Cricetulus griseus: one gene and its partner. The protein of the gene in region 1 purifies or fractionates together with the protein of each later gene. This does not show direct contact. Links are inferred from orthologs where the notes say so. Each region holds a gene or a part of one and is shown on either strand. Other genes may lie near its edges.

Region 1 (3,646 bases):
TTATTTCTTTGTTAATTTCTTTGCTTAATGGATATAATTTATTTGTTTTTTGTTTTCAACTTCCATGACTACATAGAAACCCTCTTGTAAAGCCTTTGTTATGTAGTATATCACCATCTGCTACTTCTTCATTTTGTTTGGTAAGAACTTTGGGGGAGAGAATATTTGTCTTTCTGGGAGAACATTTTCAAGCATTGTTGAATGAGCTGAATGTGGTAGTGTACCCCTCCAGCACTTGGGAGCTGGATGTAGGTGAATTGTTAGCTCAAGATCATCCTTAACTACATAGAGTTCAAGACCAGTAATACTTCTCAAACATAAATGTTTCTATGAAAGACATAATAACTCAACTGCATTAATTAAGAATTACTGTAATTCTTTGATAACACTAATAGGCCAGTAGTGGTCTTTACTTTGTGGAGCATATTAGCTGTTATGTAGTTACATTGTTTTCTGTTTTGGGTTTTTTTATGTTTGTTTTGTTTTGTTTTTTGTTTTTGTTTTTGTTTTTTGTTTTTGGTTTTTGGTTTTTCAAGCAGGATTTCTCTGTATTGCTTTGGAAGTTGTCCTGGAACTGGCTCTGTAGATCAGGCTGGCCTCGAATTCATAGAGACCCGCTCAACTCTGCCTCCCAAGTGCTGGGATTAAAGGCATGTGACACCACCGCCTGGCTATACAACATTCAATCTCTTGTGGGCTTTAATTATCTGTGGCCTTAACAACTAAGTATAGAAATTACAGGACTTAACAGTCCATGAGTAGGACGTCAGGATGAATTGCTTTCCAATTCTAACCCCTGAATGTTGAGAGAAATGTACATAAGGTTATAGGTTATACTAAGTAGCTTTGATGAAAGATTAAATTTCTTAATGACTGACATATATATTTGAGCACTCATAATTTTTCTTCTCATGGGTAAAAATAACCTAGCTCCTTGAATTTTCCTAAGGTACAAAATAAAACCAGGTTTTTCTGAAGGGTGGACAGAAAAGTTCTGAACTTGAGAAAAGTTCTGAAAAATTGTTCAGTTAAAGTTTGTGTAAGAGCACATAAAATTGTACTTAAAAGAGTGCATATCTTAGTTTTCTGATGCTATGACAAATCCCTGCAGTGATGCGTTTTTCAATAGGTAAGGTTTGTTTGGGCTCTTGGTTTTAGAGTTCCAGTCTATGATCCATTGACTCTGTTGCTTTGGTTGAGGCAGCACATCCTGATGAGAGCACACGCAGAGCCAAAACCACTTAATCTTGTTGTCAGGGAACAGACAACAAGTAAAAGAGTGACAGGAGGCTGGTGTCTAAGTAAGTGATTCCACTTAACCTAATTCTACTTAGACTCTCTCCTAAAGATGCAGCTGTCTCTTAGTGCACAGTACTATTGAACAAACCTCAGAGCTTTGTGGACCTTTTGAAATCCATGCTATAACATATTTTCTGTCTTATTTGTCAAGGAGTAAGGAAATGATGGAAATCAAAGGGAAAAGCTATGTATCACAGGAAAAGAGCATTTCCACCATCTTTGGGAAACGTTGATCATCTGTAATGGTTTGCTAAGTCAGTGGGCAGTGGCAAGTGGAAACAGTGACAGGGCAACATCAAGGTGAAGAGTTAACTAAAACTTGACCTGGGGACTCTCTGGCATCTATGTAAACACTGGGTAGATATAGAGGCTAACACAATCTTAGCCTTTGAGAGGTGCATACAGGGACAAGCTGGCTAGCTAGACTAGCTGAAAACATAAACTCTGTTCAGTGAGAGTCACTGTCTCAAAGTGGGATCCAATTGAGGAAGACACCTCAGGCCTCCATATGTATGTGTAAACAAGCACCTGCACACATGTGCCCATATGCATGTACACATTCATGCACCACACATACAAAATTAGGGGTAACTTATAGTAATACTGTGTCATGAATAGTGGAGGAAAGTATTTTTAAATGATTTTAGTTAATGAAATAATCATACTAATTTTTTATATTTTATAGAATATATTCTAAATTTCATCAAAAACGGATGGAAGAACTAACAGAAGTTGGCCTCCAGAACTTTTTCAGTCTTTTTCTACTGCTAGCAGCTGTTGCAGAGATAGAAGATGTAGCCAGCCATGTTTTAGACCTCCTTCGTTTCCTCAGGCCTGCCTCCACGTCATCTCATAGAGCCCTTGTTTGGAAGGGTCAGATGGCATTCCTCCTGATGTATGCACAGAAAAATCTGGACATTGGTGTTTGGGTTGAGAAATTGTCATGTGAGTTCCAAGAAAAAGCAAAGGAATTCTTGGTATCTAAGAACGATGAAATGGTACAGAGGCATACTCTATGGACACTGCTTTGCATCTATATTGATGGTGTTCAAGAAGTATTTGAGACCAGCTGTTGTTTATACCCTTCTCACGAGCATCTTCTCAATGATGGATTTAGCATGTTACTGCGAGCCTGTCGAGAACCTGAACTTAGGACAGTGCTGAACTTTCTGCAAGCTGTTCTGGCCAGAGTCAGGTATGTTTTCCATCAAGTGCTTGTGAGCTTCACTTTTCACATACATACATACATACATACATACATACATACATACATACATACATACAACAAAGTGTAGGTGAAAGAGGTGATTTTTCCTCTACACTGGCATAAATCATTAGTTTTCAAACAGTAGTTCTTCACAAGAAAGCTTTTTATCGAGATACAGGCAACAAAAGTGGAACAGCCCTGGTCTGTTCTAGAACCTTTCCTTCTGTATCACCTCTGAAATGTGTAATTACAAAAAGAGGTGTGCTAGTCTGAGCAAGACCTTGAGTTCAAGTTTGAGGTTACTTTTATAGAAACCTGTGGTATTTTGTCCCCATAGGGAGGTTTTTGCTATAATGTACTATTTTATTTTAATATTTATTATTGAGAGATGTGTGTGTGTGTGTGTGTGTGTGTGTGTGTGTGTGTGTGTGTAATGCATGGATGTGAGTAGGTGTGCACTTTCTGTGGCAGCTCAATTTTCTGTCCTCCCGATGGAGAATCTGGGGGTCAGATTCAGGTTATCAGGTTTGCACTGTAAAGACCTTTATGGCTAGCCGTCTCTCTACCTCCCACATTGTACTATTTTTTTTTTAAAGTGGTTTTAAGTTGTAGTTGAAACATTATTTGTAATCTCAATGCCTCAAATATTTCCTTCTGAGTCTGTATATTCTGAAATTAACGTGTTGTTTTTAACATAAAAAAATATTCAAGGGGCCGGGCACACGGCCTTGAATATTGGTGGCACACGCCTTTAATCCCAGCACTCGGGATTAAAGCAGGTGGATCTCTGTGAGTTCGAGGCCAGCTTGGTCTTCAGAGCAAGTGCCAGGATAGGCTCCAAAGCTACACAGAGAAACCCTGTCTGGAAAAACCAAAAAAAAAAAAAAAAGTATTGAAGGCTTATGGTTTGTGTCAATATAATTTGTACAGATATATTTATAGATATAATCAGAACACAACTTTAAGATGGATACAAACTATATTTTTGAATTTTTGTCATTTTGTAAGTTTTACTTTTCAAGTATATGAAGGTTTTTGTTTGTTTGTTTGTTTGTTTTGGTTTTGTCTTTCTGAGACAGGGTTTCTCTGTATCCGTGGCTGTCCTGGAACTTGCTTAGTATACCAGGCTGGCCTTGAAGT
Region 2 (4,179 bases), on another chromosome or scaffold:
GTCAGGTGTGGTGGTGCATGCCTTTAATCCCAGCACTGGGGAGGCAGAGACAAACAGATCAAAGATCTGTGAGTTCTAGGCCAGCCAGAACTATGTAGTGAAATCCTGTTTCAAAAAACAAACAAACAAAACCCCCACTATTGAGGAGGAAGAGATGGTGGGTTCCTGGCTCATTAGACAGCCAGCCTAGTAGTGTTAGAGCTCCAGGTTTTGCAGAGATTAAAATAGGTAGAACAGGGCTGGAGACTGCCCATGGGTTAAGAGCACTAGCTGCTCTCCTAGAGGCCAGGCAGGTTCCCACCATCTGCATGGTGACTCCCAAAGTCTGTAACTCCAGTTCCAGGACACCCAACTCCTTCTCTTAAACTCTGTGGTACCAAGCACTCAAGTGGTACCATAAATACATGTAGACAAAACACACACATTTTTTTTTTTAAAGAAAAAAAAATGGTACAGAGCAATGAAGAGCAGTTGAGGAAGACCATCTGGTGTCTCTAGCCCACACCCACAAATTAAATTCAAAAAATAAAATTAAAAAAAAAATCTGAACTCAGAAACAAACTTCAGTGGTAACACTTTACTGTCTGGCTGACTTGGAGAAATCATCCTGCTCGTATTACAATGGCCAGCAGCTGACTTTAGCCTTGATGTCCTAATTCCATAAATAAGGAATCAAAGTAATATTAGGTAATGACCATGCAACCATTTTTATTTGCAAAGAGCACACTCAGGCTGATTGAAACCTGCTCTCTCAGCATCTGGGAACTGTGATTCCATTGATTTATGTCTCCTCTTGGCTTCCAAATAAATCTTATCCCACATTGTTACCCTATATTTTATTTATTTACACCCTACCTTGTTCCAGCAAGGATTTAACCCAGCTTTATTCTATAGTTAAGCCACAAGTAGATTCCTTTAAACTTAAGGAGAAACTAGGGAGAGGATCAGCCAGTGGCCCACCCCAAGCACACATTATAGCAGCTCCAGGTGAACAGAAGTGGCTGGATTTGTCTGAACACCAACCACAGCCACCAAGAGGCACTAGTTTTCACAACCTAGCCTCTCAGAGCTCCACCTCCTCAGCTGCTACATCTTTCAACCCTCAGTAGGAAAATGAGGAGTGTTTCCTCCTAAAAGCAGGACTTGCCTAGTGTTAATATTTTGTTTATGATCTAACAAATAAAGCTTGCCTGAAGATCAGAGTGCAAAGCTAGCCACACTAGCTAGCCATAGAGGCCAGGCAGTGGTGGTACACACCTTTAATCCCAGCACTTGGGATACAGAAGCAGACAGAGCTCTGTTAGTTCGAGGCCACCTGAGCTACACAAAATTGAGCCAGTCTGAAAGAGAAACAGAGCTCAAAGAAAGGTGATCTCAGCACTTGGGATCCTATACCTTTAATCCCATCAATAGAGAGGACTATAAGGCGGGAGGAGACAAGGATGTGCAGTCTGAGGCAGTCTGAGCAGCAGTACAGTCTGGACATGCAATCTAAGGACAGGATCACCCTTTCTGTCTGAGGTAGAGGTAAGAGCTAGTGGCTGGCTACTTTGCTTCTCTGATCTTCAGCTTTAACCCCAATATCTGTCTCTGGGTTTTTATTAAACATGCTACACATTGCCTTGCTGTGGAGCTGAGACTACAAAGTGACCTCATGGTTAATGTGTTCACAGACTTATTTCAAAGGTCTTTTGGTCTTTGTGGCCCTTGTCCTGTCATCTAACAGCCACGTCCACCTTTATGTCCTGCAGATGAATGAAGTCATTCTGTGAAAGATTCACAAAGGCCAGCGGTCTCTCTCCCCAGCTGACTGAAGTTGAATCCCATCCCTGTTTGGTCAGTCACCCCCCACCACCACCAGGTCAGCCCATCAAAAGGAAGGAGGGATTCCTTACACTGAGTCTGCTGGAAGCTGGTAGAAATCCCAAAACTGGCAGAGGCCTGCCTGGCTGTAGCACCCCTTTCCCGAGTGTTCATCCAATCCCAGACCAGGAGCTGGGGAGGCCAAGTTATCTACAAAGAGCCAGAAGACCCCATCCCTCCCCGGGGGAAGGTCATGCATAGGATATGGTACTAACCTAAAGAGAGGCCCCGGTCTGGACAACAGCCATGACGTTACAGTTGGCTAGGAGGAGTTGCTAGGGACAAATGTGGAGATGTCTGGGGATGGTATCGATGGGAGACAAATGGGGTGGAAGAGGTCTTGCCATGGGCAGACAGGGTAGCAAGAGGAGGGTCTGCTGGTCTGTAGAAAAGCCGTCCATAAGGAAAATGGGGGAGGGTACTGGAGGTTGGGTTTCCATGGAAGAGAGAATAGATGGGAGGTTTTCTATGGGGAAATAGGCATGAAAATGGAGTCTAGCCATTGGGAAGAAGGCGTAGCCGCGGTCTCTTACACGCTAGATGGAGGCTTACACCACTACAAAGAAAAGGTGCCAAGGACAAGTGGTTCAGGACGAGGGGTGCCTCCACGAGACAGTGCAGGTTACCGTGCACTGGATCCTATCCACCGAGTTGGACCACGGAGGCTTATCTCTGAGTGGAGAAGTTCCCGGGGAGGCTGGGAGTGGCAAAAATGAGGGCAAGAGGGTTTGGGGTCCCCTGCACAGGCCCAGCCTCACCGTCAGACAGGGCCTCACTGCATTCGAAGCTGATCTCGAACCGGAAGGGGCTGTGGAAAGGGCTCGGGTTCTCCAGGACAGCCACGTTCAGCACCGACACCTTGGCCATCACCTCGCCAGGGGGTCACAGCTGCAGTGGAGCCTTCTCCGGTGTCCTGCGCAGCCAATGGCGGCTGGGGAAGAGGAGGTCGCCGAGGCAGAGAACCTCTCAGCGACTCCAACTCTTCTCTAAAGAGCGTCTCGCGTCCGCGCGCGGCCTTCAAATAGCTGACTCCACCCTCCAGCCAATCGCCGCTAAGGATCTATGACGGCGCGAGAGCCCCGCCAGCCAATCCTGAGGCTTCTTCCGGTTTGCGCCTCGACCCGCGGACCAATCAGAGAAGCTTCCTCTTCACGGTCCGCGGGAGGCGGAACGATCATCTTTTAGCTTCGCAAAGTGTCCATCCGGAACCAATCCCTAGCGTCTCCGACTCGAATATCTTGCGCCGGGGTGGGCGGAGTTAGAGCGCGGAACTTCTCTTGTCCAATCCCAAGGGTTACCGCATCGGCGTGACCCGCCCCCTCATTCTGCTCTTCCGGTAGGCACACCCCACAGAGAGCAGAGCCACTAACGGCCGAACGGTGGCGCGCGACTCTTACTTAAGAGCGCTGAAAGAAGGGAGCCAGAACTCGCCGTGATTGACTAGCGACCACGGGGCGGGGCTTCAGTAGGCTTCTGAGATGTGATTGGCTAATGTCGCGGCACAAGGAGGGCTGCGCTGGAAGCCGCCCTCCGGCTCAGTGAAAAGCATGAAGAGGCAAGCGTGATGGCGGCGCTCTGGCCTCCGTTTGTCCGCTGGTGAGCGTTTCCGGGAGCTCCTCTGAGGGACTCCTGGCCTTGAGGACAGCGGCCGTGAACATTTGGAGCACCCCTGAGACAAGATGGCGCGGCAGCGAGTGGGGACCCAGGATGGAGTCCCGGTCCGAAAGGAGTTGAAGTTCGTCGACGTACCAGGGTTTGGATCCTCTCTCCAGCCTGTTTTCCAACCGGTTGAAAAATTCACTGCGAAGGCCTGGGGTGGTGGCGCACTCCGGAGGCGGGGGCAGGCGGGTCTCTTGAGTTCGAGGACAGCCAGGGCTACATAGAGAAACCCTGTCTGGAAAAAACAAAAACAGAAGAAAGTTAACTGCCACTATTTATGACGATATAATGCGGTCTTCACTCCATGCCCCTCTGGCTCCCTAACCCTGCCACAGTCTCTTACACATACAACCAGTGAGAAATAATGCTAGCCACAGACCTTTTACTAATAAGTCTTTTAAAGGAAACAAAACAAAACGCCTGGAGTGCCGGTGTATATCCATTAATCCCAGCACTCAGGAGCCTGAGGTAGGCAGACGTCTGCGAGTTCAAGGCCTGCCTGGTTTACACAGTGATTTTGGGGAAGTAAATGAATAGATAAATTGGTTTTCACATTTGACCATCCTTAAAAGGCCAAGAAACGATGAGAGATTGATTTTAGTATTACATTTAACTCAATAGAACAAAAATGCTAATTTCAAACATTATCAGTATAAA

The links. Proteins that work in one complex are often made in the same cells at the same time.
Region 2: the proteins of Mms22l (region 1) and Asf1b purify together in Homo sapiens (co-immunoprecipitation; 4 studies listed by BioGRID and IntAct, counting the BioPlex papers as one, with this or other methods). This does not show direct contact. The link is inferred for Cricetulus griseus from reciprocal best matches to the Homo sapiens genes MMS22L and ASF1B.

Annotation. Positions count from the first base shown.
Region 1 is NC_048595.1:117,128,898-117,132,543, reverse strand, and holds part of Mms22l (protein MMS22-like), read left to right. Parts: intron 1-1,984; coding exon 1,985-2,494; intron 2,495-3,646. UniProt on the Homo sapiens protein: Component of the MMS22L-TONSL complex, a complex that promotes homologous recombination-mediated repair of double-strand breaks (DSBs) at stalled or collapsed replication forks.
Region 2 is NC_048596.1:160,459,067-160,463,245, forward strand, and holds the start of Asf1b (histone chaperone ASF1B), read right to left. Parts: upstream 2,888-4,179; 5' UTR 2,731-2,887; coding exon 2,622-2,730; intron 2,120-2,621; exon of another isoform or gene 2,079-2,119; intron 2,014-2,078; exon of another isoform or gene 1,978-2,013; coding exon of another isoform or gene 1,896-1,977; intron 1-1,895. UniProt on the Homo sapiens protein: Histone chaperone that facilitates histone deposition and histone exchange and removal during nucleosome assembly and disassembly. Cooperates with chromatin assembly factor 1 (CAF-1) to promote replication-dependent chromatin assembly.